Elephas maximus indicus: one gene and its partners. The protein of the gene in region 2 interacts with the protein of the main gene of each other region in a pairwise test. Links are inferred from orthologs where the notes say so. Each region holds a gene or a part of one and is shown on either strand. Other genes may lie near its edges.

The links.
Region 1: the proteins of PRKAR1A (region 2) and C6H2orf88 interact in binary tests that used the Homo sapiens proteins (3 or more experiments, as listed by UniProt). The two-hybrid records come from large-scale screens. The link is inferred for Elephas maximus indicus from reciprocal best matches to the Homo sapiens genes PRKAR1A and AKAP19.
Region 3: the proteins of PRKAR1A (region 2) and PLEKHF2 interact in binary tests that used the Homo sapiens proteins (3 or more experiments, as listed by UniProt). The two-hybrid records come from large-scale screens. The link is inferred for Elephas maximus indicus from reciprocal best matches to the Homo sapiens genes PRKAR1A and PLEKHF2.
Region 4: the proteins of PRKAR1A (region 2) and AKAP10 interact in a two-hybrid assay, tested with the Homo sapiens proteins (3 studies listed by BioGRID and IntAct). The link is inferred for Elephas maximus indicus from reciprocal best matches to the Homo sapiens genes PRKAR1A and AKAP10.

The regions. Positions count from the first base shown.
Region 1 is NC_064824.1:88,403,581-88,409,228, forward strand, and holds C6H2orf88 (small membrane A-kinase anchor protein), read left to right. Parts: upstream 1-4,861; coding exon 4,862-5,146; downstream 5,147-5,648.
Region 2 is NC_064837.1:58,913,780-58,920,791, reverse strand, and holds the start of PRKAR1A (cAMP-dependent protein kinase type I-alpha regulatory subunit), read right to left. Parts: upstream 3,010-7,012; 5' UTR 2,700-3,009; intron 2,467-2,699; exon of another isoform or gene 2,374-2,466; intron 2,368-2,373; exon of another isoform or gene 2,279-2,367; intron 1-2,278. UniProt on the Homo sapiens protein: Regulatory subunit of the cAMP-dependent protein kinases involved in cAMP signaling in cells.
Region 3 is NC_064833.1:46,884,732-46,891,835, forward strand, and holds the start of PLEKHF2 (pleckstrin homology domain-containing family F member 2), read right to left. Parts: upstream 3,007-7,104; 5' UTR 2,805-3,006; intron 1-2,804. UniProt on the Homo sapiens protein: May play a role in early endosome fusion upstream of RAB5, hence regulating receptor trafficking and fluid-phase transport. Enhances cellular sensitivity to TNF-induced apoptosis.
Region 4 is NC_064820.1:212,340,370-212,347,981, reverse strand, and holds the start of AKAP10 (A-kinase anchor protein 10, mitochondrial), read right to left. Parts: upstream 3,029-7,612; 5' UTR 2,896-3,028; coding exon 2,808-2,895; intron 1-2,807. UniProt on the Homo sapiens protein: Differentially targeted protein that binds to type I and II regulatory subunits of protein kinase A and anchors them to the mitochondria or the plasma membrane.

The DNA of each region.
Region 1 (5,648 bases), on a different chromosome or scaffold from region 2:
AGTTTTTCTATTGTTTGCTCTTTTTGCTTGTTTCATTGATTTCTGCTCTTAGCTATATACTCTTTCCTTCCTTATTCTTACTTCTGGTTTAATTTACTTTTCTTTTTCTAGCTTCTTGAGGTGAAAACTGAGATCACTGATTTTTAAACCTTTCTTCTGTTCAAAACCAAAAACCAAACCCATTGCCGTGGAGTCGATTCCAACTCCTAGTGACCCTACAGGACAGGGTAGAACTGCCCCATAGGATTTCCAAGACTGTTATCTGTACTGTATGGAAGCAGACTGCCAAAGCTTTTTCCCAACGTTTTGGTTAGCAGCTGAGCAGCCAACCACTGTGCTACCAGGGCTCCCTTCTTTTCTGTTACAAGCATTTAAATCTATATAAATTTCTAAGTTGTGATTTTATTATTTCGTTGAACGTGTATTTTAATATCCCTTGTCATTTCTTCTTTGCCTCATGGGTTATTTACAAATGTGATGTTTAAGTTCCAAATATTTGGGGCTTTTCTGAGGATTATTTCTAACTGAATTCTGTAGTAGTTAGAAAATACACTGATTTCAAACTTTTGGTGAAATTTGTTGAGATATGTTTTACGGTCCAACATGTAGTCTATCTTGTTAAATCTTCCATATGCACTCGATAATATGTATCCTCCCGCTGTTAGGTATAGGGTATAAATGTCAGTTAACTCAAGTTGGATCATAGTGTTATTCAAAAGTTGTATTCTTTCCTTACTTTAGGAGAGTAATTTTGAAATCTCCAGCTATGATGGTGGGTTTCTTTTCCCCTTTAAAGGGTTCTATCATTTTTTTACTTCATGTAATTAGTTGCATACACATTTATAATTGTCATTTCTTCCTCACTGACATATTATAAAATGTCCCTGTTTATCTCTCATAATACTCCTAGTCTTAAAGTCAGTTTTGATATTAATATAGCCATTGCAGCTTTTCTTATGCTTATTTTTTGCATAGTATATGCTTTTCCTAACTTCTTGCTTTCAATCTCTCTGTATTAGTTGTATTTAAAATGCATGTCTTATAGTATGTAGTTGAATCTATCTTTTTAACCACTCTGATCATCTCCGCCTTTTAACTGGAATTTTAAGTCCATTTCCTTTCAAATTTTTGATATGATGAGTTTAGGCCTGCTACCCCTCTTGTTTTTCTTCCTATGTTCCTCCTTTTCTGCTGCCTTCTGGATTCAATGTATCTAATTCCTAATTTAAGCCATACTTTTAAGTCATATTTGTTTGTATTATCTTTTTAATGGTTGCTCTGTTCAATTTTTTAAAATCTTTCTGTCCCCTCTGTCTTAGTTATCTAGTACTGCTATAACACAAATACCAAAAGAGAATGGCTTTAGCAAACAAAAATTTATTTTCTGGCAGTTTAGGAGGCTAGAAGTCCAAATTCAGGGTGCCAGCTCTTGGAGAAGAAGGCTCTCTCTCTCTGTTGGCTCTGGAGGAAAGTCCTTGTCTCTTTTAGCTTCTGCTCCTGGGTGATCTTCATGTGGCTTGGCATCTCTCTTATCCCGTCTCTGCTTGCTAGCTTGTGTTTAATCTTTTTTATGATTGACTCAAGATACACCCTACATTAATCTCTCATTAACATAACAATAACCCAAATGGGACTGTAATCACAATCATAGAGGTTAGGATTTACAATACATTTTTGAAGACAGTTCAATTCATAACACCATCTGTTCTTTAGACTGGATATAGATTTTTGTTCACATTCATTAACCATTTCTTCTGCATTCAATCTTTTTAGTTCATATGAGTTTTCAGATAATTGTACATTTTAGGTCTAGTTCCCATTTTTTTTTTTTAATATATATACCATTTCCATTTCTCTGATAAAATCCCCTATTTTATACTGTCTTTATGATCATTTTATATCCTTTATGTCCTAAAATATAAATAGCTGCTTTAAAGCTATTGTCTTCTAATTCCAAGAACTTTAATTCTGCTCCTAAGACCTGCTTTTTTCCTCGATTATGGGTCACATTTTCCTGCTGCTTTACATCTAATAATTTTATATGATGGACATTGTGGATAATAGCTTGTAGGGAATATGAATTATGCTATCTTTCTTTAAATGGTGAGTTTTGTTAGCATGGGACTATTTCTATTTGAACTTTGTCCAAGAGCATGACCCTTGCTTTAGGGAGGGGTTGGAATAATACAGCCTATAAAAAAAAAAAAAAAAAAATTTTTTTTTTTTATAGGCTTGCCTCCTGTTTTTGTTAATGAAGTTTTGCTAGAACACAGTCATGCCCGTTTGTTTACATATTATCTGTGGATGCTTTTCAGGACGCCCGGTGGTGTAACCCTTAAGCAGTGGGCTGCTAACCAAAACCCTTGACAGCACCAAACAACAACATGCATGCCTTTGTGCCAAACAGCGGAGGTGAATAGCTGTGACAGAGACCATATGGCTCACAAACTAGCTCTTTAAGAAAAACGTAGTCAACCCCTACTCTAGGGTATGCTCCTGACTCCTAAGGTGTCACCTCTCTAGAACAGAGAATATCACTTTACATAACTAAGTACCTGAAGTGTTCAATGAGGTCTCTCCACTCTGGCTAGTCTGGAACTCTAAGGCCTTCCGGTATCACTGTTCAGCTCTAAGCCCCAGAGCAAGTAATCTTTTGCTAAATCTTGCATATCCTCATCCTGCACATGTACATCCTAGCCAAGTATCCTTGGTGAGTCTCCACGGCTCCCTTTTCTCTTGAACTGTCTATTAATTCCAGCTGCTTCAGCACCCCAAAATTCTGCCTCAGCTCAGCAGAACTGCTACTCTCAACAGAAACCTAGGATGATCAATTGTAGGGCTTAATACCATGTGTTTCCCTTGTACTCAGGAAGCACAGTCCTCTGTTGCCTGTTGTTCAATCCCTAGAAATATCTCTCCACATACATTATGTCTAGTTTTATAGTTTTGGGTGAGAACAAATCTGGTACTAGTTACTGTTATAGTCAGACAAAAGCTGCTTTTGCAAAATTAACGATTCTAGGTAACACAGATTATTCTATTCATGGCCTTTTATTTATCTGACACTCAGTGAGGTCTCTAATCTTTTTCAGGTTAAATATGTCCAGTTCCCTTAACTAATCCTCATTGTACAAAATAGATACTACATAAGTCATCATATGGTAGAGATGCACAACCCTGACAGTCCCCATCTTCAAGGAGCTCACACACATCCCTTCTTCCCCTTTTAAAAGACATCTCGAAATCTTCCTGGAACATGTAGCAGGGCCAAAACCACCAAAACCAGTGCTGTCAAGTCGATTCCGACTCATAGTGACCCTATAGGACAGAGTAGAACTGCCCCATAGAGTTTCCAAGGAGCGCCTGGCGGATTCAAACTGCTGACCCTTTGGTTAGCAGCTGTAGCACTTAACCACTACGCCACCAGGGTTTCCTGTAGCAGGGCATACAGGACTAAATTATAAGTAGAAAGCCAGCTCTCCTATGTCTATCCCCATATGATCCTTAGGAGGCAGGGCAGGGAACAGATGTAGTATTGAGAGAAATCGGGTAGAATTTATACAGGTCAGAAAAATGTATAACAGTAGGCCTGAACAAAGGTCACTTTTTATAGACTTCTTTAATTTTAAACTATTAAAAATAGAATTAAAATACATGCTAGTTTTTACTTAATATCAGTGTTTTCAGAAATAGTTATTTCTGAATTTTATTCATTTTTAGAGGTATTTCTTTGGTCCATAGGCTTTAAGACATATTAAGAGACCATTAAGACCTCATTCATTGCTTGTTCTCTCCTGTGGCCAAACCTCCCTCCAGTGAAGTTGTTTTGTCTTGTTTCCAGTCACCCTTAAATCCTGAGTTCATTCAGTGACAACATCCCAGCTGGGAAGCTGAGAAGGAACTTCACAAGCCTTGGAGCCTACTCACTGTCTAAACACCAAAAAGTGGCAATGAGATACTTAACATTAATTTGAGCTTTCCATATCATTTCACAGGGAATATCTAATTCAGAAGAAGTAGGTGGCTTTGCCATGTCTAGACTGCATTGTTTCGAATTTGCACCAGTGTAAGGATTATCATTCTTTGCCACTGCTTGAGTTGTAAACATTTGACCAGGGGAAAAGCCTTCCTCTGGTAGCAGCCAAAGATGAGTAGGCTCCTGAGATTTGGGTCAGGAGCAAATTTTCATATGCTTGTTTCCCCTGACAGTATGGATCAGAGGTCAGCAAACACTTTTTTGTAAAGGGCCAGATAGTAAATATTTTAGGCTTTGCAGGCCACATGGTCTCTGCTGAACTCAACTCTGATGTTTGTTGTAGTGTGAAAGCAGCCATAGACAATACGTAAATGCATGTGCATGGCTATGTTCTATTTACAAATTAAAAAAAAAAAGCAGCTGGGATTTGGCCCATCGGCCATAGTTTGCTGACCCTTGGTATAGATAAATCTAAGCTATCAAACGTTTAACTGTTTTCAGTTTTATACCACTTTTTCAAGATCTTGAAAAGATATTTTCCTATCTTGTAAATTGCCATTTTTATTAAGTGATTGCCTTTTTTGATGAGATAAAGCTGTTTGTTGTTACTGCCTATCTCCTCCAAGTGCTAAGGAGGACTATTTTTACATGCCACCTAATCATAGAATATTTTGCATTCTGTAACTTCAAAATGAAACAAAACCTCCCTTCTCTCGACAGATAAACACTACATGTGAAGAGTGGTGACGGGAACACTGATTCCCCAAGTGGCCCTAGAGAAGGAAAGCAATCAGTATCACATGGACTTACCCTTCGTGTAGCCAAAGATGCTGTTGAAATAGTCTTTCTACTGCTTTCCTCCCCTCGGTCAAAACTCTTCATACCATGGGCTGCATGAAATCAAAGCAAACTTTCCCATTTCCTACCACACTTGAGAATGAGAAACGACACTCAAGTGAAGAAAACTTTATGCCAGAAGAGAGATTTCTACCAAGGATGCCTTCTCCAGTTGTCGAAGAGAACGTGAAGACGCCCCCAGAGCCCAGTGTTGTGGTCCTAGAATATGCACACCGTCTGTCCCAGGAAATCCTGAATGATGCCTTGCAGCAGTGGGCATGCAATAACATCAAATACTGTGATATCCCATACATTGAGAGCGAGGGGCCTTGATGGTAGGGTGATGACACTTTCTTAAACTGTGGTTATAGTTGGTGCTAGTTTTAAATATATGAAACAAAAGCAAAAATGGTGTGAATAAGTACAGATAACTCTATATGGATGTAAAAAAAAAAAAGGCCTATGATAACTTCCCTGGTGTAGGAACACAAGACGAAACGTGTTTTAAGCAGTTTTACATTAATAACAGCATTTTCTACCTGCTTGATCCTGGATTTTAGTCACTTAAAGGACACCACAATAATCAGCTGCATGTCACACCACTTTCTTCTTGAGGCAGTAGCAACATCACCAAAGAAAATGCTTAAGAATAAAAAGTGCCCCAGGTTCCAAATGCTTAAGGCATAACTTTAAAATAACATATTTACACAAAAAAGCTAAAGATATGAAAAAGGTTTTTCTTGGAATGCCTTGGCAGGGCAACAGCACTCAAGCCATAATGATAATTAGTGGGTCTTGTTTCTTAAAATCATTTGTGTCAAGGATCCCCACTTTT
Region 2 (7,012 bases):
TAACCTCAGCTCCTGGGAGGAAGTATGAGCCACTATTCCCTGCAGAGGCGGGCTGCTGAGAAGTCAAGCCCTTAAGGAAATTTCATTCACTTCTCCCCTGCAAAAGACATCATGATGACGTGGGAAGTGTGTAAACGGTAAACAGGGCAGAGAGTTGCAAGGCCACACAGGTCAGCTCTAAATGAAAGCAAGTAAGCACAACGAAGAACATCTGACATTCCCTGCACGTAACTCCTGTCCCACAGGGATCTCCTGATGTTACACAGCAAACCACTGGAGCAAAGAATCTGATTAGCCAACTACTAAAGTAATCACAAAGTCAAAAGACACAAATGGAACCCCAAATGAGTTTTCAAAGCAATCTTTTATTCTAGAATCAATCACTTACCAGATTCCAGCCCTAAATAACAGAATTACCCAGTGGTTTTAAGGAGGAAAGATCTTAAGCAATTAAGAGTAGAAGATAAAAAGCATGGTCCCCTCTACTCTGCAACTGAATTTAATACTAATCAGACTTTTTTTCAATTATAATGCAAAACCACAAACCAGAGAGATGAAACTCTAAATGTAAAAGTTGAGAAACAGAAATACCAGGATAAAGAGCTATTCTAAAGTGCTACACTGTTACTCATTTTGTTGTGACAACTTTCATAATAAAGGTCAGTAACAAGTAGACTAATTAATAGACCCTGAGAAAGTTTGTGGCTCCTTGACAAGCCCATAAATTAGAGGCCATGGAAAAAGAATCATGCTGCTATTTCAAAAAAAAGCACTCAAAAAAAAGTTTCTTTACTTTAGGATAGGTTTATACCAGTCACTTTTTCATGTCAGTCAATTACAATCACATGAACAGAAATACATTCAGTAAAATTTTCTGCATTTCAAATAATACTGAAGGCCACCATGAACAATGATAAATCAGATCTTTTTGCTTCAAAACATTCAGATGTATTTCAGAAATATCCATAGAACTATGCAGCTGATCAGCGAAATCATTCAAAGAGCAGGTCCTTGGCTGGTAGAGATGAAAAGAATTGGGTCCAAGAGGAGAGACCGTTCTTGTTTGAAACAAAGTAATGTATTCAAAAGACAAAAAAGACATTGGTAATAAGGCAGTATATGAATAAAAATGCCCCAAGATTAATGCAGTCACAAAGTGAATCTCTGAATTCCACAATCTTAATATTTGTAATTGACTATCTCTGGATTCGCCCTGTATTTATATTCATTTTAAAAACCCTCAACAACTTAGCTTTCCCCTCAAAATCACTTAACTACATTAAAACTTACTGTATTGTCTCTACCCATAAGGAAACATTCACACTCTTTCTTTTGGAAATGCAGTTGTGATAAAATTCAGTGTCAAAAGGATTACACGCAAAGACTTAAATATTTTGAGAAACTTCCTGATTCAGACCGCAACCCCTCAGACCGGCCAAGCAACACTTCGTTGGGGTCATTCTGAAGCCTTAGCTTTCCTTCCTCTGCTAAAAAGATGTCACTCCTGAGAATCTCTCCAGTAGTAAGTCATCTGGCACCATACAAGCAAGGAGCTGGAGGAGTAATAGCTATCGCGTCTTTTCGAGAGGAAGGACAGCACAGTGTCCTTCACTTGGCTTCTGCCACGGTCATGACCACAAAACGCAAGGAGGCCGACCCCTCCTCCTACTCTAGTCGGGAGGCCGCGGGGGAGGGGAGAACCGGGAAAGGGCAATGAAGGGGGACAAAAAAATTTAGGGGCCAGGCCAAAATCATCGTGTGGGGGGAAACGGTCCCGGGAAGGCCAGAGAAAACGACGGCTGGAAATGACAGGAGGGAGACGGAGCAGAGAGGAGAAGAACTGCTGCGCCTCCAGACCAGGCAGAACCATCGGGGGCAACGATGGCGAATTCCAGCAAAATCGAGCTGCCGTCCTTCAGGAAAGGGGGGCGGGCGAGCGCGGAGACCGCGACGCGCGAGGGCGGAGGCGGCCGGGTGCCGAGGGCCGGGGGAGGCCGCAGGGACCGCGCGGGCGGGGGGCGGGGCCGCCGGGGAGCCCTGGCCCGAAGCAGACGCCCCGGCGACCCGGAGGCTTCGGGTTTGCAGACCCAGGACGGGGGCGCGGCCTGGGGCGCGGGCCTGCAGAGAAGCGCCTGTAGAGGCCGGGGAGGGGCAGGGGGTGCGGCCGTCCCCTGCAGGTCGCTCCCCGAGACGCCATCTTGGATCGGTCCAGCGCCCCCAAACGGGCGGCAGGGCAACAAAACGCGCCGCCCCAGGCCCCCCGGCCAACCCCACTTACCTAGTGACGGGCGGCGGCGGGCACGGGACTGCAGGTGCGAGGCTGCGGCGTGCCGAGCTCCCTCAGCGCTTCCCTCCCAGCCCCGCTCCACTCACCGATAAGCGGCTCCGCGGCGGCTCCACCGGAAACGACCGCGCCACGGCCAATCAGCGCTCGGCTGCTGACGTCAATGCGCCTCGCTCTGGCCAGAGCCGTCGCCCTGGCAACCTTAAAGGCGCAGCAGCCCTGCTCGCTTCCCGCCCCCACCCACCGACCCCCAGTTGAGCAGCGCTCGCCCCTACTCATTCTAAAATCGTCTCCTGCTTTTCTTTCCGTCTCACAGCGTCCCTCCTCTGCAGCCCTTTTCCCACTCCCACCTCTTCTTTCCCCACGCTCTCCAGTACCGTTCTACCCTCCTTCCTGTTCATCCGCCCTTCCTTACCTGTTCCTCTTTGGATGTCTCAGGTCCCCTTTATTCGTTCTTCTGCACCTCGCTCCCTCTCCCCGGGGCTCTAGTGCGCTCCCCTCTCTCCTCTTCTGTCTACTCCTTTCCTCTCTCCTCCCCGCTCTCAGGCCTCCTTCGACGCCTCTGCCTTTTCTCCTCCCTCTCTACCACCCCCGAGCCGGCCCACGTGGGTCGTCTCGAATGACAGATGGGCGACTCCGCCCCACGGCCCCTGCAGGGAAGGACGCGGGGCCGGGGGCCGGGAGATTCCTGCGGCTTCCAGGCCCGGGAGGGGGCGGAGGCCCTGGCGGATCTGCTGCAGCTGCGCCACCGGCCGAGCGCGGGCGGATGCCGGGGATGCACACGCCCCGCCGCTCATCCTATGCAGGGCCAGCGCCGCGCGGTGCTCCAGGCTAGCGCAGCCATCGGTCCAGGAAATCTGAGCCCTGCCAAGACTCTGCTTGGCGGTCCAAGCCACTCTCCCCTCTGGAGGAGCTGTCGTCAATGGGGACCACACCGTCTCCATGGGCACAAGACCCAGGAAAGGACTTCGTCAGGGCCCACGAGGAGGCCCGAGTCTTTCTAGAATCCGACGTGCCCTCCCCCCCCCACCCCCATCATCATGCCTGACCCCACATGGTAATAAATGGAGAGCCATGCAGATTGTCACAAACGCTCTATCAGCACACAAGAAACGTAGACTGCCTGCAAAAACTGCACTAATACGGGAAACTCAGGCAAAAAGCGACTTCTTTAGCCCTTCAGACATTTCTTTCCATCAGAATATCTGCTCTCATCTGCCGCAGGGGACAGTTTTAGACGGATAAGAGTGCTAAATGAAGGAAGAAGGCCATTCAAGGACATGAATCCAAGTGTCTGGCCAGTAGCTTTTGTGCTCACATCCTATATAGCTCTAGGGCTGTATCTGTAAAATGCACGAAGGATTTAACAGTATAAAAAAAGGGGGGGGGTGTAAAACAGATAATTTTTATTGTATAAAAATTTTATATTGATTACAGGTTGAAATGCTAATATTCTGGACATATTAGGTTAAATATTATTAAAATCATTCACCTTTGTTATTTACTTTTTTGAAGGAAGCTTAGTGGCACAGTGGTCAAGCCCTGGGCTGCTAACCAAAGGTCTGCAGCTCGAACCCTCCAGCTGCTTTGCAGGAGAAAGATGTGGCACTCTGCTTTCATAAAGATTTACAACCTTGGGAACCCAGTGGGGCAGTTCTACCCTGTTCTGTAGGGTCACTGAGTCAGAATCCACTCCACGGCAACAGGTTTGATTTTTCATTAGGACATTTTAAATATAACAGGGCTCCCATTATATTTCTGTTGGACGGCACTGGCTTAGGGATCCAACCGCTCCCCTAAATCCATCAGGTTATGATGAGGGTCCTGCTCATCAGCGTACTTATTTTATTCAGTTATGCTTATCCCTTGCTTTCTGCTAGTCAGAGGAAGCAAAGGCAATATCAGAGAGCTGATTAGGCCCACGGGTGGGAATATAGGAGGAAAGTTTCTCCCCCCACCGACCCCCCACATGTTGGCCGTTGGCCTTTTCCCAGGGACGGAGTGGACCGAATGGGGGATTAAAGACAGAGTCCCAGTCATATAAGATTTCACCCTTGTCGATACAAAGAAGGGACTGATAAACTGAACTCTGAGCTGGCAAGCAAGAGAGGGAATTTGATAGCATTGAGCAGGCCCGGTCATGTTCTAGGAAGAAACCTTGCTGTCAGATAAATCCGAGTTTGGTTTCAGGCTCTGCCACCTGGACTTAATCTCCATGAGCCTCAGTTTCTTTATTTGTAAAAGGATAAGCAGAGCTGCACTGAAATTAATTAACAGATAATAACGGCAAACACATACAGCACTTACTAAGTTCCAGGCACTAAGTGCTTTACACATAATAATTTAATCTTCATAATAACTCTCTGACATAGGTAATAGTATTATTATTGTTATTGTTATAGAAGGAAAAGGAGGCACAGAGAAGTACAATGACTTTCCCAAGGCCACACAGCTAGTGGGATTCACACCCAGGCAGTAATCTTAATAACTCTCCTTGGCAGTATATGCATAAATGAAGTTCCACCATAGCATGTTGTTGTTGTTAGGTGCCCTCATGTCGATTCAGACACATAGTGAGCCCATGTGACAGTAAAACTGCCCCACAGGTTTTCCTATGCTGTCATAATCTTTATGGGAGCGCACCTCCAGGTCTTTCTCACTCGGAGCCACTGGAAGATTTGCTGAGCCCTTAACCATTGCGCCACCAGGGCTCCTTCAGCATGGTGTGAGATGCATTAAATAAATGTTGATTTACTCCCCATTTCTCTTCCTCTTTCCTAAAGAGCTACCCAAACTACAAGGTTTAGAACTGAGTTATTCTGTGTCCCCCCATTAGTGCTACCTTCCTAAGGCACTCAAGGTACTTAGGACAAGGAAACAAGCTAGCTGGTGACATTGAGCCCAATGCTTTGAGTGGCAGCTGCTTCCTTGCTCTGGCCTGGGTGTGTGTCCCCATTCAGCTGCATTCAGGCGCTAGGCCAGCCACGGGCCGTTTCCTGTGTCAGCCGGCACAACCTTGTTCTAGCTGCCAAATCCTCATATGCTGGAGCTTCAAAAGACAGAAAGGGAAACGGGCAGCAGGTCCTTGAGCCTGGGCGAGCTTACCGAGACAGCTGTTCGGAAAAGCCAAACAGCCTCGGTGGTTTCCAAATGGCGCAGATACTCCTCCAGAGCTGCTGTGCCACTGAGAGAAAAAGACCGACTTATAAATTATGTTTCATGACCCGTGGACATGACCTATGTTCCACTGTAGTTTCAGTGTGGCTTCCTCTTTGCCAGAAGCCCTCTGCCCTTGATCCAAAGGTCTGCTGGCCTTACCTTTGGCCCGTGTCCTGTTATTGTCGTTGGGTGCCATCGAGTCAATCCTGACTCACAGCGACCCCATGTGACAGAATAGAACAACCCATAGGGTTTCCTAGGCTGTAATCTTTACCAGAGCGGATCTCCAGGTCTTTTTTCCCAAGGAGCCACTGGGTGGATTCGAACCACCAACCTTTTGATTAGCAGCTGAGCACCTAACCACTGTACCGCAAGGGCTCTTTGGCCTGTGTCCTAGAAGAGCTCAAAAAAAAAAAAAGGTTTCTTGGGTAGTAGGGTTGTAAGTAAATTTATCCCTTTAAAACAGTATTCCTTAATTGCTGTGATAATGTTTGTACAACATCAAAATTTTTCTAAAGAATAATAATTACCAGTGGTATATTTAGTAAGCAGGAGTAACACTAAGAGAACTGAAATATAAAAGGAAGGAATATTCTGGTGACCCACTTCTTAGTGGTCAAGTTTAAAGCTTCCATTGGTTAAGGATAGATCTATGTATTCGAGATTTCAAGGGTTGTTCCTGATTGGCATAGCACCAAGCTTGTGTCTTACACCCTCCCAGACACTGTATCAGCCCCAATATGGTTTCGGTAAACTCCTTTCCAGTTTGGGTCACCTAGAGTTTATTTCTTTGCTTTGTTGTTGTTGTTAGGTGCCTCGAGTCAGTTCCGACTCATAGCGACCCTATGCACAACAGAACAAAACACTGCCCCATCTTGCGCCATCCTTACAATCATTATGCTTGAGCTCATTGTTGCAGCCACTGTGTCAATCTGTCTCATTGAGGGTCTTCCTCCTTTCTGCTGACCCTGTACTTTACCAAGCATGATGTCCTTCTCCAGGGACTGATCCCTCCTGACAACATGTCCAAAGTATATAAGAGGCAGTCTCACCATCCTTGCTTCTAAGGAGCATTCTGATTGTACTTCTTCCAAGACAGATTTTTTCTTTCTTCTGGCAGTCCATAGTGTATTCAATATTCTTCACCAACACCACAATTCAAAGGCTTCAGTTCTTCTTCAGTCTTCCTTATTCATTATCCAGCTTTCACATGCATATGATGCAATTGAAAATACCATGGCTTGGCTCAGACGCACCTTTCTTTGCTTGCAGATTAGAATTCTGGCTGAGGTAAATCCCTTATCCTGTCTTGTTGTTAGTTGCCATCCATGCATGGCAGCCAGTGTCTGCAGACTAAAACTGCTCCAAAGGGTTTTCAAGGCTGTGACATTCAAAAGCAGATCACCAGGCCTGTCTACCTAAGCACCTCTGGGTGAGTTCGAAACCACCAGTCTTTCGGCTACAAGTCAAGCACTTTACCATTTGTGCCACACAGGCACCTTATCCTGTCCTGGAAAATAATATTAATAAGCATCTCTAGGAAACGACCTATTAGCTGATGTGTGGTCT
Region 3 (7,104 bases), on a different chromosome or scaffold from region 2:
CTTTGAATAAGAAGACTTGTTGTTAGCTCCTATCTAGTCAGCCCCCATGTACAATGGGATCAGCCCATTGCAATCCTTGGGGTTTCATTGGCTGATTTTCAGAAGTAGATAACCAGTCCTTTCTTCCTAGTCTGTTTTCACCTGGAAGCTCTGCTATAACCTGTTCAGCATCATAGCAACACTCAAGCCTCCACTGACAGACAAGTGGTGGATGCTCCTGAGGTGCACTGGTCAGGAATTGAACCTAGGCCTCCCGCATGGAAGGTGAGAAATCTACCACTGAATCACAACTGCCCCCTACCCAGTCAACACCCAGCACCAATTCCAGACATACGAGTGAGCCATTTTAGACATCCAGTTCATATGAGTCTTTAGGTGATTGCAGCTCCAGTTGCAACTGACTGGAACCGTCTGAAAGGCCCCTCAGCAAGAGCTGCCCAGTTGAGCCCAGTCAATCCACAGACCCATAAGAGATAACAGAAAATTGTTACTTTAATAAGTTTTGGGGTGGTATGACACACAGAAGTTGATAACCAGAACATCTGATGACTCTCCAAGGCAGTGGACATTGTGCAGTGATTCGGTGGTCCCAACTACTTTGCAGCTCCACCATCTCAATATTTGGCATCCACTATCATGTTGAAGAAGAAGGGAAAGCCAAAAGTTCACCCAGAGCTTTATACTCTCAGGCCAGACCAAACCAGTGTCGTTTTTGCTCACAGCCTATTGGTCAGCACTAATCACACGAACTGCCTAATTGCAAGATGAGCTAGAAAGCGTAGTCTCCTGAGCACACAGGAAGGAGAAAAATATAAAATATTGATAATGTCTACCATATCCGTGTGTCACTTTCAGTTTTTAATTATAAAATATTTCAAACACAACGAAAAGTACAATGATCAAATAATAGGTTCCTATCAGTGGGCACCCCGGTAGCGCAGTGGTTAAGTGCTACGGCTGCTAACCAAAAGGACAGCAGTTCAAATCCGCCAGGTGCTCCTCGGAAACTCTATGGAGCAGTTCTACTCTGTCCTGTAGGGTCGCTATGAGTCGGAATTGACTTGACAGCACTGGGTTTGGTTTTTTTTTTGGATCTACTCAGTATCCAGACGTCTAGCTATTCTAACCACACATAAAAAAAAAAGCTTCATTTGTAAAAAAGACTAAAAAACCAAAACCAAACCAGTTGATTCCGACTCATGGCAACCCCACGTATGCAGAGTAGAAGTGCACTCCATAGGGTTTTCAATGACTGATCTTTTGGAAGCTGATCATCAGGTCTTTCCTCCGAGGCATCTCTGGGTATATTCCTAATCACCAACCTCTCTGTTAGCAGCCAAGTGCTTAACTGTTTGCATCACCCAAGGACTTCATAAAAAGATTGTTGGGTATTTAATGACCCTAAGGAGTTTTCTGTGGATATTAGGTGATATTTGCTGATTAAAATCACCTTTCAAAAGACGTCAGGTTCAGACTTCTTAACAGAGCCCTTCCCAGTCACTCCTCAACTCGCCTTTCTGGATAGCTTATAGCTTTTCCTCCCAAAACACTCATGAGAGAATGTTGGTTATTTTTGCGTCCTTTCATCTACTTATACTTCTTTTGGTAAGAGTATCCCGAATTTCCCTTGCAATCATTTTTACCTCACTCTCAACAAAGCATTTGGGGAGTATCTTAGGCTGGGTTCTCTATAGAAGCAAAACCAGTGAAGTGTGTAGATAAATATATATGCACATATATATGGTGAGAGAGAGAGAGATTTATCTCAAGGAAATGGCTCACTTGGTTATAGAGGTTGCGAAGTTCCAAGACTGTGGGTCAGGTGTCAGTCTGGAGGCTTCTCCTGACTCACGTAGCTGCCGGGGCTGACAAACCCAAGATCGGCAGGCAATATGGCAGGCCATTGGCTCAAGTCCCAAGAGCCAGAGGTCAGATGATGATGAGCCAGATGCAGGATCTGGAGTGAGGAAAAGCTAGCTAGTGTTGGATGCAGGTCACACACCCAAGCAAACTCCCCTTACAACTGATTGGCTGATCACATCAGATCATATCACAGAAGTGATTACATTAAATCGCAAAATGAAGGATAACTATATCATTACATAACTGCCAAACCACTGAGAATTGTGGCTAGCCAAGTTGACATAACCTTAACCATCACAGGGGATTGATCCACCCTCAGTTCCAAGGATGAGCGGAATTATGGCATCAGGGCATCCCATAGTCCCAAATACAGTCATTGGTTCCGTCAGAATGAAGCCCAGGAATTTTATTTGGCAATTCAGGGAAGAGATGGTCTCTTTCCTACTGATATAAACAAAAAATCATGTAACCCCAGGACCTGTTGGCATCCATTTTGGGACCATAAGGAAGTCTGCCCTAAGATGCCCGCTCACACAGGGGAAGCCAGAACAGAAAGACAGAATGAAATGAGACCCTTGACATCATCAAATCTTATCTAGAGCCTGAACTACCTCTGGACTTTTTAAGTAAGTGAGATGATAAATTCTCTTTATTATTTAAGCTTTTTTTTTTTTTTTAAGCTAGTTGGGTTCTGTTGATTTCAACCAAAAGACTGCTAATTAAAAATACTGACACTACGATTTAATCACATAGAGTCACTTTCAGTTCTCTAAAATACATGTACTTTCACTTCAAAATATGGTTAAAATAAGCTCAGAATACATTGAGCATTGTCACCAGAAAATGCATGATCAGGGCCCCAACTAGGGCTATTGTCGTGGCTGAAGAATAAAATCACCATCTGCAGCATCTAGGACACATTTTTGCAACTGAGAACATACCAAATTTCCTGCTGTTTAGGAGTGCCATTCCTTAAGCGTTGACTTGTAGACATCTGTGATTTCAGCACATCTTCGGGAAAAATAACTGTGCGCGGCTCTCACACTTGAGGTCTAAGCTTCTCTCAAAACTATTTGCTGAGCAATCAGGTTGGGCTCAGCTGAGAAGAGATCTTGACCCACTGTAAGTCCCTCAGATGAGGCCTGACAGTTCACGTATGTGAAGCATGTGGGCAGAGAAGCCCCTATTGAGTCAAAGCTATGCTTCTACTTCCTGATGTGGTCATCTGAATGGGGAAGTGTGTGTTCCTCTGAGTGTGTCAGCTCCAACCAGTGTTGTCTGAGAAAACTGGAGAGAGTTTCAAGGTAATGGACAGACAGGAACTGAGGAAACATTTTTCAGTCAGAGGAACACGGCTCTTCCTTCCCTTTTGTGTGATAACACTGTCATCTTCTTACCACGTTTGAACAGCTAGAGAAGCCATCAAGAAAACAATGATATAACAACTTTTAAAAATTGCCAAGACCTTCCAGAAATAGTGTGGTGAATGAAAACACGTGACTTTAGTCTTCTCAGTCATACAAATCCATCTTTTCTTGGGTTACTACAGTTTGTTCTACCTCCCTTGCCCTTTCCCTAAGGAGACCCTTCAGCTCTCTGAGTGCTGACAAATACTGATGCGTTCCAGACGATCTTTTTAGACCTCAGTAGCAATGACGGATGTAGCAAATCCACTCAACACAAAAAGAATTTTTGAAGACTTCACAATTTGACAAGATGGGCACCCAGTTCAATCTGCCCTTAAAATGCAAGGCTATCTTGATGTGCATTTCTGCTTATTGCAAAGCTCGGAAGAGCACTTACGTTATTTGTAATCACTGATCTAAGTCAAAGCGCTAGTGTCAAGGTCAGCTTTGTAAGTCTCCACAAACTTTTAAGAGAAAACTGTAACTGTCCTTTTTGCTATTTTGATCTCATAGAAGTAAAATGTAAGAAAGGGAAAGAACATAATTATCACCTGCACACACTGAGCGAAAGGATGAGATTATAGAACAGTGGTAGAAAATATATACAAAATCGGCAAGATGACTCATAAGTACAGTAACTGAAATAGCTCAGCTTTTGTATATGGTGGGACAGATCTGCCAACAACTAACAAATGTAATAGCATAATGATAACTTGGGACTAGGTTTATTTAAAAGGTCCTATCAAGCACGCCTACGTATATATATATAAAAACGTATATAGCGCCAGAAAATGCCACTGACTTTCAGCAAACATGGCTATCAGCCCATGGGGAGAAAGGTAAGAAAGTCACCCACTGGCAAATTCCACAGCAACAACTGCTCTAGCTTTAATGTGGCCCCCTCACGTTCTGCCTACGTGCTCAAGGAGTCACTGGGGTGTTCACCAGTTAAGCTGCAGGGGCCACACCTCTGGCCAAGGCTGAGGCAAGCTTCCCTTATTTCCCTTTCTTCTCTTCTGCACACCTCAGGCTGCTTCCAGCCTTCTCAGTTTAAAGCCAATACCCCCATTCACTTCTCTCCTCCAAGGCTGGAGATGCAGGTTTGCTTGTTTTACTCATTCACTATTGTTGTTGCTTTTGAGTCTCATGGTGACTCCACGTGTGCACAGCAGAACTGCTTCATAGGGTTTTCAAGGCTGTGACCTCTCGAAAGCATCTTGCCAGGCCTGTCTTCCAGGGCACCTCTGGGTGGGTTTGAACCACTAACCTTAAGGCTTAACCTTTTGTGCCATCCAGGGACTCCACCCATTCACAACGCCTCTCTAAACACAAATACATTATAACCTTTCCAAGCTAAGTCTCACTGCGTATCACCTCAAGGAAACAGGCAGGGAAACCCTCTGGACTCAATAAGTCTTATTTGCTAAGTTCTCACCTTCTATGTCCTGGCCTATAATCTGTGATTCCCCAGAAGTCTCTGGGACTCTGCATGCTCTGTAAGCTCTGTGCTTAACTTGTATTTCTGAGCATGGAACTCACCCTTCCCTCCCGCTCTCCCTCAGAGTGGATGAATTCCTAGATGAGGGCCTCCCTCTTAGCCCTTAGGCCTGCGCTTCCAATCAGGGCTGAAGGATGGGGTCAGCTAGTATCCCTCTGGTGCCATTGTTCTGAAATAAAAAAATGTACCTTTCTGAGGGCCCTTAGACTGGAGGACCCTTCTTGCTAAGTGTTCCCTACTCCACAGAGAGATGATTCTCTCCAGGCTTTTCCTCACACACCGCACACAGAGCAAAGAGTCAGGCCACCTGATTTAGGAGATAATATTGGAACCATTATTCTCTGTCTTGGAATGTGACCCACCTGGAGCTGGATTCACAAGGACACATCAACTGGGCTCTGAGGTATAAAGACAATAGCTAGGACAATTTTGGAAAACATCTTTTAGGGAATCTTTCACATAAACAAATCATAAAACACAGCACTAGTGACCCTCATGCTTCCAACTTTTATCGTTTTTTACTAGCCTTTAATGAATAGTAAGATTTGTTGGACCAGTGAAGACCCTCCTGACTGTCTTTACTGAACCTGTACCAATGATTGTTAAGAATGACAATTCAAAATGTAGAATCAGAGATTTAGCAGTTTCTAGCCAATCTGTGAAAAGGTGAAGCTTTCAATGGTTTTGCCCATTAGCATGCTTGTCCATTTTCCCATTCTTGCCATTCTGTAACCCTTGGACTTGGGCAGACACGGCTCTGGCAGCATACTTAGCCATTTTCCCACTTTTGTCTATTCCGTAATATTCCTTGGACTCAGACAGATATATCTGTGGCAGCATGCTTGTCCGTTTTCCCATTCTTGCCTATTCTGTAATATTCTTTGGATTTGGGCAGACATTAGCTCTGGAAGCATGCTTGTCCATTTCAACTTTTGCCTATTTGAACAAACGCCGAATAAAGCTTTCGTTTTGCTTTACTAAACTTTGTGATGTTTTCACCCTACAACATGCCCAGTTTCCAGTCCTTACTCAGCCACTTGCTTGCTACCTGGGTGACCTGGCCGCACATCTCTGAACCTGCTTAGGCTTCATTTTCATCACCCATACGGTTGTGGAGAGGTTTCGAAGAGATAGTCCACTTAGCACAATTCCTGGTACACAACTAGAATTAACGCCAAGAATCTTGTCAATGTTGGGTTGTGACAATCCAGGACCTAATGAGTTAATGCTGGGCACAGCAGGGGGCCTCCTGGACTTTGCTCCCTCACTGCAGCTGGTTATACAGTGTGCTAGATGCAAAATCACACAGAGAGATGTGTACTAATGGGCCATCAAACAAGGGAGGGTGAGATGGGAATCAGGAGTAGAAGCAAGGAGGGGTGGGAGGGAGCAGGATGGAAGGGTGTCTTTTGTCTGCAACCTGGTGGGGCAAACAGGATCTTACTGGTGTATGGCACCTGAGAAAGGTAGGGAAAATTACTGCAGTAGTTTCCTGTGGCCACCATAACCAAATATCACAAAGCAGATGGCTTAAAAACAACAGAAATTTGTGTTGGAGGCCAGAAGTTAGAAATCAAGATGTCAGCAGGGCTCCACTCCCTCTGAAGGCCCTAGGGGAGAAATTTTCCTTGCCCCTTCCAGCTTCTGGTGGCTCCTGGCATTCCTTGGCCTGTGACAGAATAACTTCAGGCTGCGCCTCAGGCTTCACGTGGCCTTCTGCCCTCTGTGGCTCTCTGGGTCTCAAATCTCCCTCTGCTGTTTTCTTATATGGACACCTGCCATTGGATTAGGGCCCACCCTAAATCTAGGATAATCTCATATTGAGATCCTTAACTACATCTGCAAAGACCCTTTTCCAAATAAGGTGACATTCACAGGTACCAAAGGTTAAGACTTGGACATGTCTTTTTGGGAGCCACTATTCAATCCATTTTGGTGGCACAGTGGTTAAGTGATACAACTGAACAAATGGTTGGCAGTTCAAATTCATCAGATGCTCCTTGGAAATCCTAAGGGCAGTTCGACTCTGTCCTCTAGGATCGCAATGGATTGGAATCAACTCCAGGGCACACAGCAACAATGAAGTAGGTAGCGAGTCCCCAGGTGGCACAAATGGTTAAGTGCTTGACTACTAGCCATAAAGGTTGGCAGTTTGAACCCACTCAGAAGAAAGTCCTGGCAACCTGCTTCCAAAGGTCACAGCCTTCAAAACACTATGGAATGCACCTCTACTCTGACACACGCTGGGTAGCTGTGAGCTGGAATTGACCAGACGGCAACCGGTTTGGTTTTGGTTTTGGTTTTGGAGGTAGGAAGAGAGAGATGAAGTGTGGGGGG
Region 4 (7,612 bases), on a different chromosome or scaffold from region 2:
TCTTGCTCACAGGCTGTGAAGATCAATGAATCCCAAGATCAGCCAGCAAGACTGCAGGTAAGCTGCAAGCTCGAGACCCAAGAACCAGAGGTCAGACGAACAGGAGCCAGCTGCAGGATCCAGGATGAACAAAAGCTCCCGAGCCCTCTCAGAAGGTCTGCCCACACACCCAAGGAAACTCCCCTTCAACCGATTGGCTATTCACAGCAGATCCCCTCATGGGGGTGTTCACATATCAAATCTCAAAAGTGAAGTGACCACATCACATGACTGCCAAAACACTGAGAATCATGGCCTAGCCAAGTTGACACACAATCTTAACCATCACAGTATCAAAAAGCAAAACAAAACTTGTTGCCATCGAGTGAATTCCGACTCATAGCGACCCTACAGGACAGAGTAGAACTGCCCCATAGGGTTTCCAAGAAGTGGCTGATGGAATCAAACTGCCAACCTTTTGGTTAGCAGGCAAGCCTTAACCACTGTGTAACCAGGGCTCCAACCGACCTATACGAATCCAAAAAACCAAACCCAGTGCCATCGAGTCGATTCTGACTCATAGCGACCCTACAGGACAGGGCAGAACTGCTCCATAGAGTTTCCAAGGAGCGCCTGGCAGATCTGAACTGCCAACCCTTTGGTTAGCAGCCGTAGCACTTAACCACTACGCCACCAGGGTTTCCAAACAATCTATAGCACTGGGCAAATCTGCTGCAAAAGAACTTTTTAAAGTGCTAAAAGGCAAAGATGTCATTTTGAGGAATAAGGCATGCCTGACCCAAGCCATGACATTTTCAACTGCCTCATAGGCATGCGAAAGCTAAACAATGAGTAAGAAAGACTGAAGGACTGGTGTGTTTGAATTACGGTGTTGGGGAAGAATATTGAATATACCATGGACTACCAGAAGAACAAACAAATCTGTCTTGGAAGCACTTACCAATGATGACCAAAGGTTACAGCCTTCATTATCAATTACACCACAACATAAAGAAAACAGAAATCCTCACAACTGGCCCAATATGCAACGTCATGATAAACGGAGAAAGTACTGAAATTGTCAAGGATTTCACTTTCTTGGATCCACAATCAACACCCATGGAAGCAGCAGTCAAGAAATCAAATTTTGTATCGCATTTGGCAAATCTGCTGCGAAAGTCCTCTTCAAAGTGTTGAAAAACAAATATGTCACTTTGAACATTCTGACCTAAGATGTGCCTGACCCAAGCCTGGTATTTTCAATCACCTCACACTCATGAGAAAGCTGGACAATAATAAAGGCCAAAGAACTGACACATTTGAATTACGGTGTTGGCAAAGAATACTGCAACAACAGGCTCAAACACAGCAATTATTGTGAGGGTATTGCAGGACCCGGCAGTGTTTTGTTTTGTTATAAATAGGCTCGTTATGAATCGGAACCAACTGGAGGGCATCTAACAACAACATACGTGTGTAAATACAAAGTTTTGTTTGTTTATTGTCTGTCTATCCAAGCAGACAATAACCTCCATTAGTGCAGAGACTTTGTTTTGTTCATTGCTCAATCGTGAGGGCTTAGCACAGTGCCTGGCAGATAGATGGCACTCAGTAAGTGTTGTATAGAGACAACAATCTGTTGCGTTAAATTGCAATTTGCTTCACTATACTTGGGTTTTTTTTTTTTATTTTAATACTTAGAATGCTTTTATCCCCTTTAAAAAAACAAAAACAAAAACTCATCACTTCGACACTCTCAAATGAGAGCAATTACCTTAACAAAAAAGCTTCCTTATGCTATTTTACCAATTTCATTCATTCACCACTGTTTATCACCTGGCATCAGTTACTAAAACCCCAAAAACATACGGAAATTCTTTAATTTGCTTAGTCAAGAATTGAATGGAGCCTTAGAATCACCTCATTTTCAGTTGAGAGTAGTTAAGGAATTTTACCAAGCAGTGGTTTTTTTTTTTACAGTTAGTAGTAGAGCTATCATGTGCACCCAAGTCCTTGATTTAGTTTAGTGCTTTTTCCAAAACCCACCTATGCGCGGTACACTTTCTCTGAAGCAAGAATTGACACAGAGACACTACCATCAAAAGAGACTCACACTTGTTCACTTTGGAAATGTAATTTTAATGAAATACAACTTTTTTTTTTTTTTTACCCAGGATCAAGAACCAAGCTGTCTCTACTTAGAATGTGGGCAGTTACTACAACTGAAAATCAGATATATACGTAGTTTTTTATAAAGTTAGGTTTCCAGTGGTTAATAAACATGCTAAATCATCAAAAGAAGTAGTCCTCTTTATTAGCGAACTTTTAGCATAAGCTAAGTAATGTTATTTTAGAAACAGCAGTAGTCCTCCCGCCCTCTCCCCCCAGAAAATACGAAACTGGAAAATAGCACTAGTTGAAAAAAATTTTTCACGCGTTGCCTTTAAAAACAAAACCCTCAGTATTCTGAAATATCAGAGACTTCCTGTAACAAAGTACTAAACATATTTTCTTTTTTTTGAGGCATATTACGCAAATAAACCGAAAAGCTGCCTTTACGCAAGCAGGTATTAACTTCCACGGGTTACAGCAACACTCTTGTAGCAGCGCGACAATTTCTCTCTGACCACGCACGAGGAGGCCACTTTCTCCCTCCCAGCAAATTCCCGGAGCAGAGCAAGGGGTCTTTGCACGGAGGTCGAGCGGCTCAGTAAGAGTTTCGCAGCCACAGCGGAGAGAAGCCCTACTAGGCCCACCGCCCCTTTCCCCCTTCCCCCTTCGCCCTCCGCCCCCCGCCCCCCGCCGCCTCGGCGGCGCCCCTCAGCTACCTTTCCGCCGGAAGAAGGACATGGCGGGGCCCGGGTCAGGGCGGAGGGCCCGGGGGGACTGTCGCGGGGAGGGCCCGGCTCCCCTCATTCAGCAACTGGCCCGGACTTCCGGGTCTGCCTCAGCCGCCGCACTAGCCCGAAAACAAACCCTTCTTCCGGGTGTGGGCCCTACTGCCTCCTAGAGATGCCTGGGCAGTGCCTGCCGCCATATTATCAACAAGCCGCCCACCCGGAGTTCCGGTCCTTCCCCGCGCGAGGCTTCACGGGAGGCTGGGCGGCCGGCCCCGCCTGCGACTCTCTCCAGGGTGCAGGCACGTGTCCGCGTCGCTCACGTGACCTTGCGGGAGTGCGACCTGCGCCCATCTCCCGGAGTGTGGATGTTGAAGCAGTCGGCATCGTCAGCTCTGCTACGCTGCCGGTAGTGTAGATAATGGCTCCTACGCTGTAGACCCCATCTTTGCAAAGGAATCCTCCTGGAGCAGGATCCTTCCCGGAGCTCCCCGGTCCTTCGAGATAACGCGCGGCTCTTGGAGCGCTCTTCTAGAGGCTGGGCCACCAGTGCTACGCTCAGCTTAACCCCTCAGTGTTTTTCCGTTTGAGATTTTCTAAAATTAGACGCTGGCCGGCATGGACTGGCTTCAGCGTGCACCTCCAGCCCCTCCTCTCTTAAGGGGCTTCGATGTGTGCGAGAATCTTGGTGGGGAATAGGAGACGTGAACTGCTTCATGCAGCTCCGGTGAATTCTTTTGTCACAGTGACCTCGGAAATGAGAAAAGAGAAGTGGGCTTATTTTCATAAGGTGATCTCTGCGAATGCTGGAATTTGAAAGGCAAGCGCCAGTGAATCATCCTTCAAGTCTTCTTCAAATGTCATTTTCCCTGTGAATCTTCGGACCCTCACTCTATTCCTGTAGCAGTGAAATCAAGCCTCCACCCCTTTAGTATCTGTCACCACTCTCTTGAGTGCACTCTGCCAAGTAGAATAGGTCACTGTTTGTAGCCCTTAGCTCCTGCCAGGGAGGGAGCCAGGAAGATAGTGTGTCTGGTAGTAGAAGCTCAGTAAGTGTTGGCTCGATTTTTTTTTAGTTTTTATTGTGCTTTAAGTGAAAGTTTACAAATGAAGTCAGTCTCTCATACAAAAATTTTTATACACCTTGCTAACCCGCCGAAAACCAAACCCAGTGCCGTTGAGTCAATTCCAACTCACAGTGACCCTATAGGACAGAGTAGAATCGCCCCATAGAGTTGCCAAGGAGTGCCTGGTGAATTCGAGCTGTCGACCCTTTGGTTAGCAGTCGCAGCACTTAACCACTGCGCCACCAGGGTTTCCATACACCTTGCTGTGTACTCCTAATTGCTCTTCCTCTAATGGGACAGCACACTCCTTACTTCCACTCTCTCTTTTTGAGTCCATTCAGCCAGCTTCTGACGCCTCTGCCCTCTCATATCTTCTCCAGGTAGGAGATGCCAACATAGTCTCATGCGTCTACTTGATCCAAGAAGCTCTTTCTTCGCTAGCCTCATTTTCTATCCTGTTGTCCAGTCCAATCCCTGTCTGAAGAGTTGGCTTTGGGAATGGTTCCTGTCTTGGGCTAACAGAAGTTCTGTCTCTGGGGTTCTTCTAGTCTCAGTCAGATGATTAAGTGTGGTTTTTTAATGAGAATTTAGGGTCTGCATCCCACTGCTCTTCTCCCTCAGGGTTTCTCTGTTGTTCCTTGTCAGGGTAGTCATCTGTTGTAGCCAGGCACCACCTAGTTCTTCTGGTCTCGGGCTGATGTAGTCTCTGGTTTATGTGGCCCTTTCTGTCTCTTGGGCTCATAATTACCTTGTGTCTTTGGTGTTCTTCATTCACCTTTGCTCCAGGAGGGTTGAGACCCATTGATGCATTTTAGATGGCTGCTTACTACATTTAAGACCCAGATGCCACTCTCCAAAGTGGGATGCAGAATGTTTTCTTAATATATTTTATTATGCCCATTGCTTAGATATACCGAGACCATGATCCCCAAACCCCTGTGCCTGTTACACTGGCCTTCAATGCATTCAGTTTATTCAGGAAACTTTGCTTTTGGTTTAGTCCAGTTGTGCTGACCTCTCCTGTATTGTGTGTTGTCTTTCCGTTCATCTAAAGTAGTTCTTATCTGCTATCTAGCGAATACCCCCTCCCTCCCTCCCTCCCTTCCCCCTCTCGTAACCATGAAAGAATATTTTCTTCTCAGTTTAAACTATTTCTCGAGCTCTTATAATAGTGGTTTTATACAATATTTGTCCTTCTACAACTCACAAATTTCACTCAGCATAATGCCTTCCGGATTCCTCCACGTTATGATACGTTTCACAGATTCTTTGCTGTTCTTTATCGATACGTAGTGTTCCATTGTGTAAATATAAAAAATATATATACCGTAGTTTATTGATCCATTCATCTGTTGATGGGCACCTTGGTTGCTTCCATCTTTTTGCTATTGTACATAGTGCTGCAGTGGACATGGATGTGCACATATCTGTTCCTGTAAAGGCTGTTATTTCTCTAGAATGTATTCTAAGGAGTGGGATTGCTGGATCATATGGTAGTTCTGTTTCTAGCTTTTTAAGCTCCAAATCGATTTCCAAGGTGGTCGTACCATTTTACATTCCCACCAGCAGTGTATAAGTGTTCAGTCTCTCAACAACCTCTCCAACATTTATTATTCTGTGCTTTTTGGATTAATGCCAGCCTTGTTGGAGTGAGATGAAATCTCATTGTAGTTTTGATTTGCATTTCTCTAATGGTAATGATTGTGAGCATTTCCTCATGTATCTGCTAGCTACCTGCATGTCGTCTTTAGTGAAGTGTCTGTTGATATCTTTTGCCCATTTTTTAACTGGGTTATTTGTCTTTTTGTAGTTGTTTTTGTTGTATCATGTAGATTTTAGAGATCAGAAGCTGATCAGAAATGTCATAGCTAAAAACTTTTTCCCAGTCTGTAGGTAGCCTTTTTACGCTTTTGGTGAAGTCTTTGGATGAGTATAGGTGTTTGATTTTTAGGAGCTCCCAGTTATCTAGTTTCACTTCTACATTGTTAGTGATGTTTTGTATACTGTTTCTGTCACGTATTAGGGCTCCTAACATTGTCCCTATTTTTTCTTCCATAATCTTTATCATTTTAGATTTCATATTTAGGTCTTTGATTCATTTTGAGTTTGTTTTTGTGCATGGAGTGAGGTATGGGTCTTGTTTCATTTTTCTGCAGATGGATATCCACTTATGCCAGCACCATTTGTTAAAAAGATGGTCTTTTGCCCATTTAACTGACTTTGGGCCTTTTTCAAATATCAGCTGCTTATATGTGGATTGATTTATGTCTGGATTTTCAATTCTGTTCCATTGATCTATGTATCTGTTGTTGTACCAGTACCAGGCTGTTTTGACTGTTGTGGCAGTGTAATAGGTCCTAAAGTCAGGTAGAGTGAGGCCTCCCATTTTGTTCTTCTTTTTTCGGGAATGCTTTACTTATCCGGGGTGTCTTTCCCTTTCATATGAAGTTGGTGATTTGTTTCTCCATCTCATTAAAAAATGTCGTTGGAATTTGGATTGGAATTGCATTGTATCTATAAATGGCTTTTTGTAGAAGAGACGTTTTGACAATGTTAAATTTTCCTATCCATGAGCTAGGTACGTTTTTCCACTTACACAGGTCTCTCTTGGTTTCTTGCAGAAGTGTTTTTTAGTTTTTTTGGTGTAAGTCTTTTACATCTCTGGTAAGATTTATTCTTAAGTATTTTATCTTCTTGGGGGCTACTGTTAATTGTATTGATTTGGTGATTTCCTCTTTGATATTCCTTTTGTTAGTGTAGAGGAATCCAACTGATTTTTATGTGTTTATCTTGTATCCCAATACTATGCTGAACTCTTCTGTTAGTTTCAGTAGTTTTCTTGAGGATTCTTTAGGGTTTTTGTGTGTAAGATCGTGTCATCTGCAAATAGAGATACTTTTACCTCTTCCTTGCCGATCTGGATGCCCATTATTTCTTTATGTAGCCTAATTGCTGTGGCTAGGACCTCCAGCAGAATGTTGAATAAGAGTGGTGATAAAGGGCATTCCTTTTTGGTTCTCCTTCTCAAGGGGAATGCTTTCAGACTCTCTCCATTTATGATGATGTGGGCTGTTGGCTTTGTGTAAATGCCCTTTATTATGTTCAGGAATTTTCCTTCTATTCCTATTTTTCTGAGGGTTTTTGTCATGAATGGGTGTTGATGTTGGCTGGATTTTTTAATCATGTGAAGAATGAGGAAACTGAGGTTCAAAAAGAGGAGACAACTTGCTTGAGATTATTCAGTATGTCAGTGTTGAAACTAGAACTAGAACCCAGGAACTTTTCACCATAATACTAGAGCAGGTTAATAGATTTGTCTATTTTTGTTGGGGTTCATTTGCAAATGCATGTAAGATGTGTTGATATTTACTGAAACTTACTACGTGCAGGTTCTCTGCTAAACTCTGCAGTTTAACCCTTGTAATAGCCCTAGGAGAGCCCTGGTGGTGCAGTGGTTAAGAGCTCAGCTGCTAACTAAAAGGTCTGTAGTTCGAATCCACCAGCTGCTCCTTGGAAACCCTATGAGGCGGTTTTACTGTGTCTTATAGGGTTACTATAAGACAGTAAACTGGGTTTTTTTTGGGATAGGGTTACTATGAGTTGGAATCCAATCAACTTGACAGCACTGGGTTTGGGTTTTGGTTTAACAACTCTAGGAGTCAGTCTTAGCGTAGACAAAACTAGGCATAGAAAAACAAAGTAACCTCCCCAAAGCCAGAGGCTAATTAG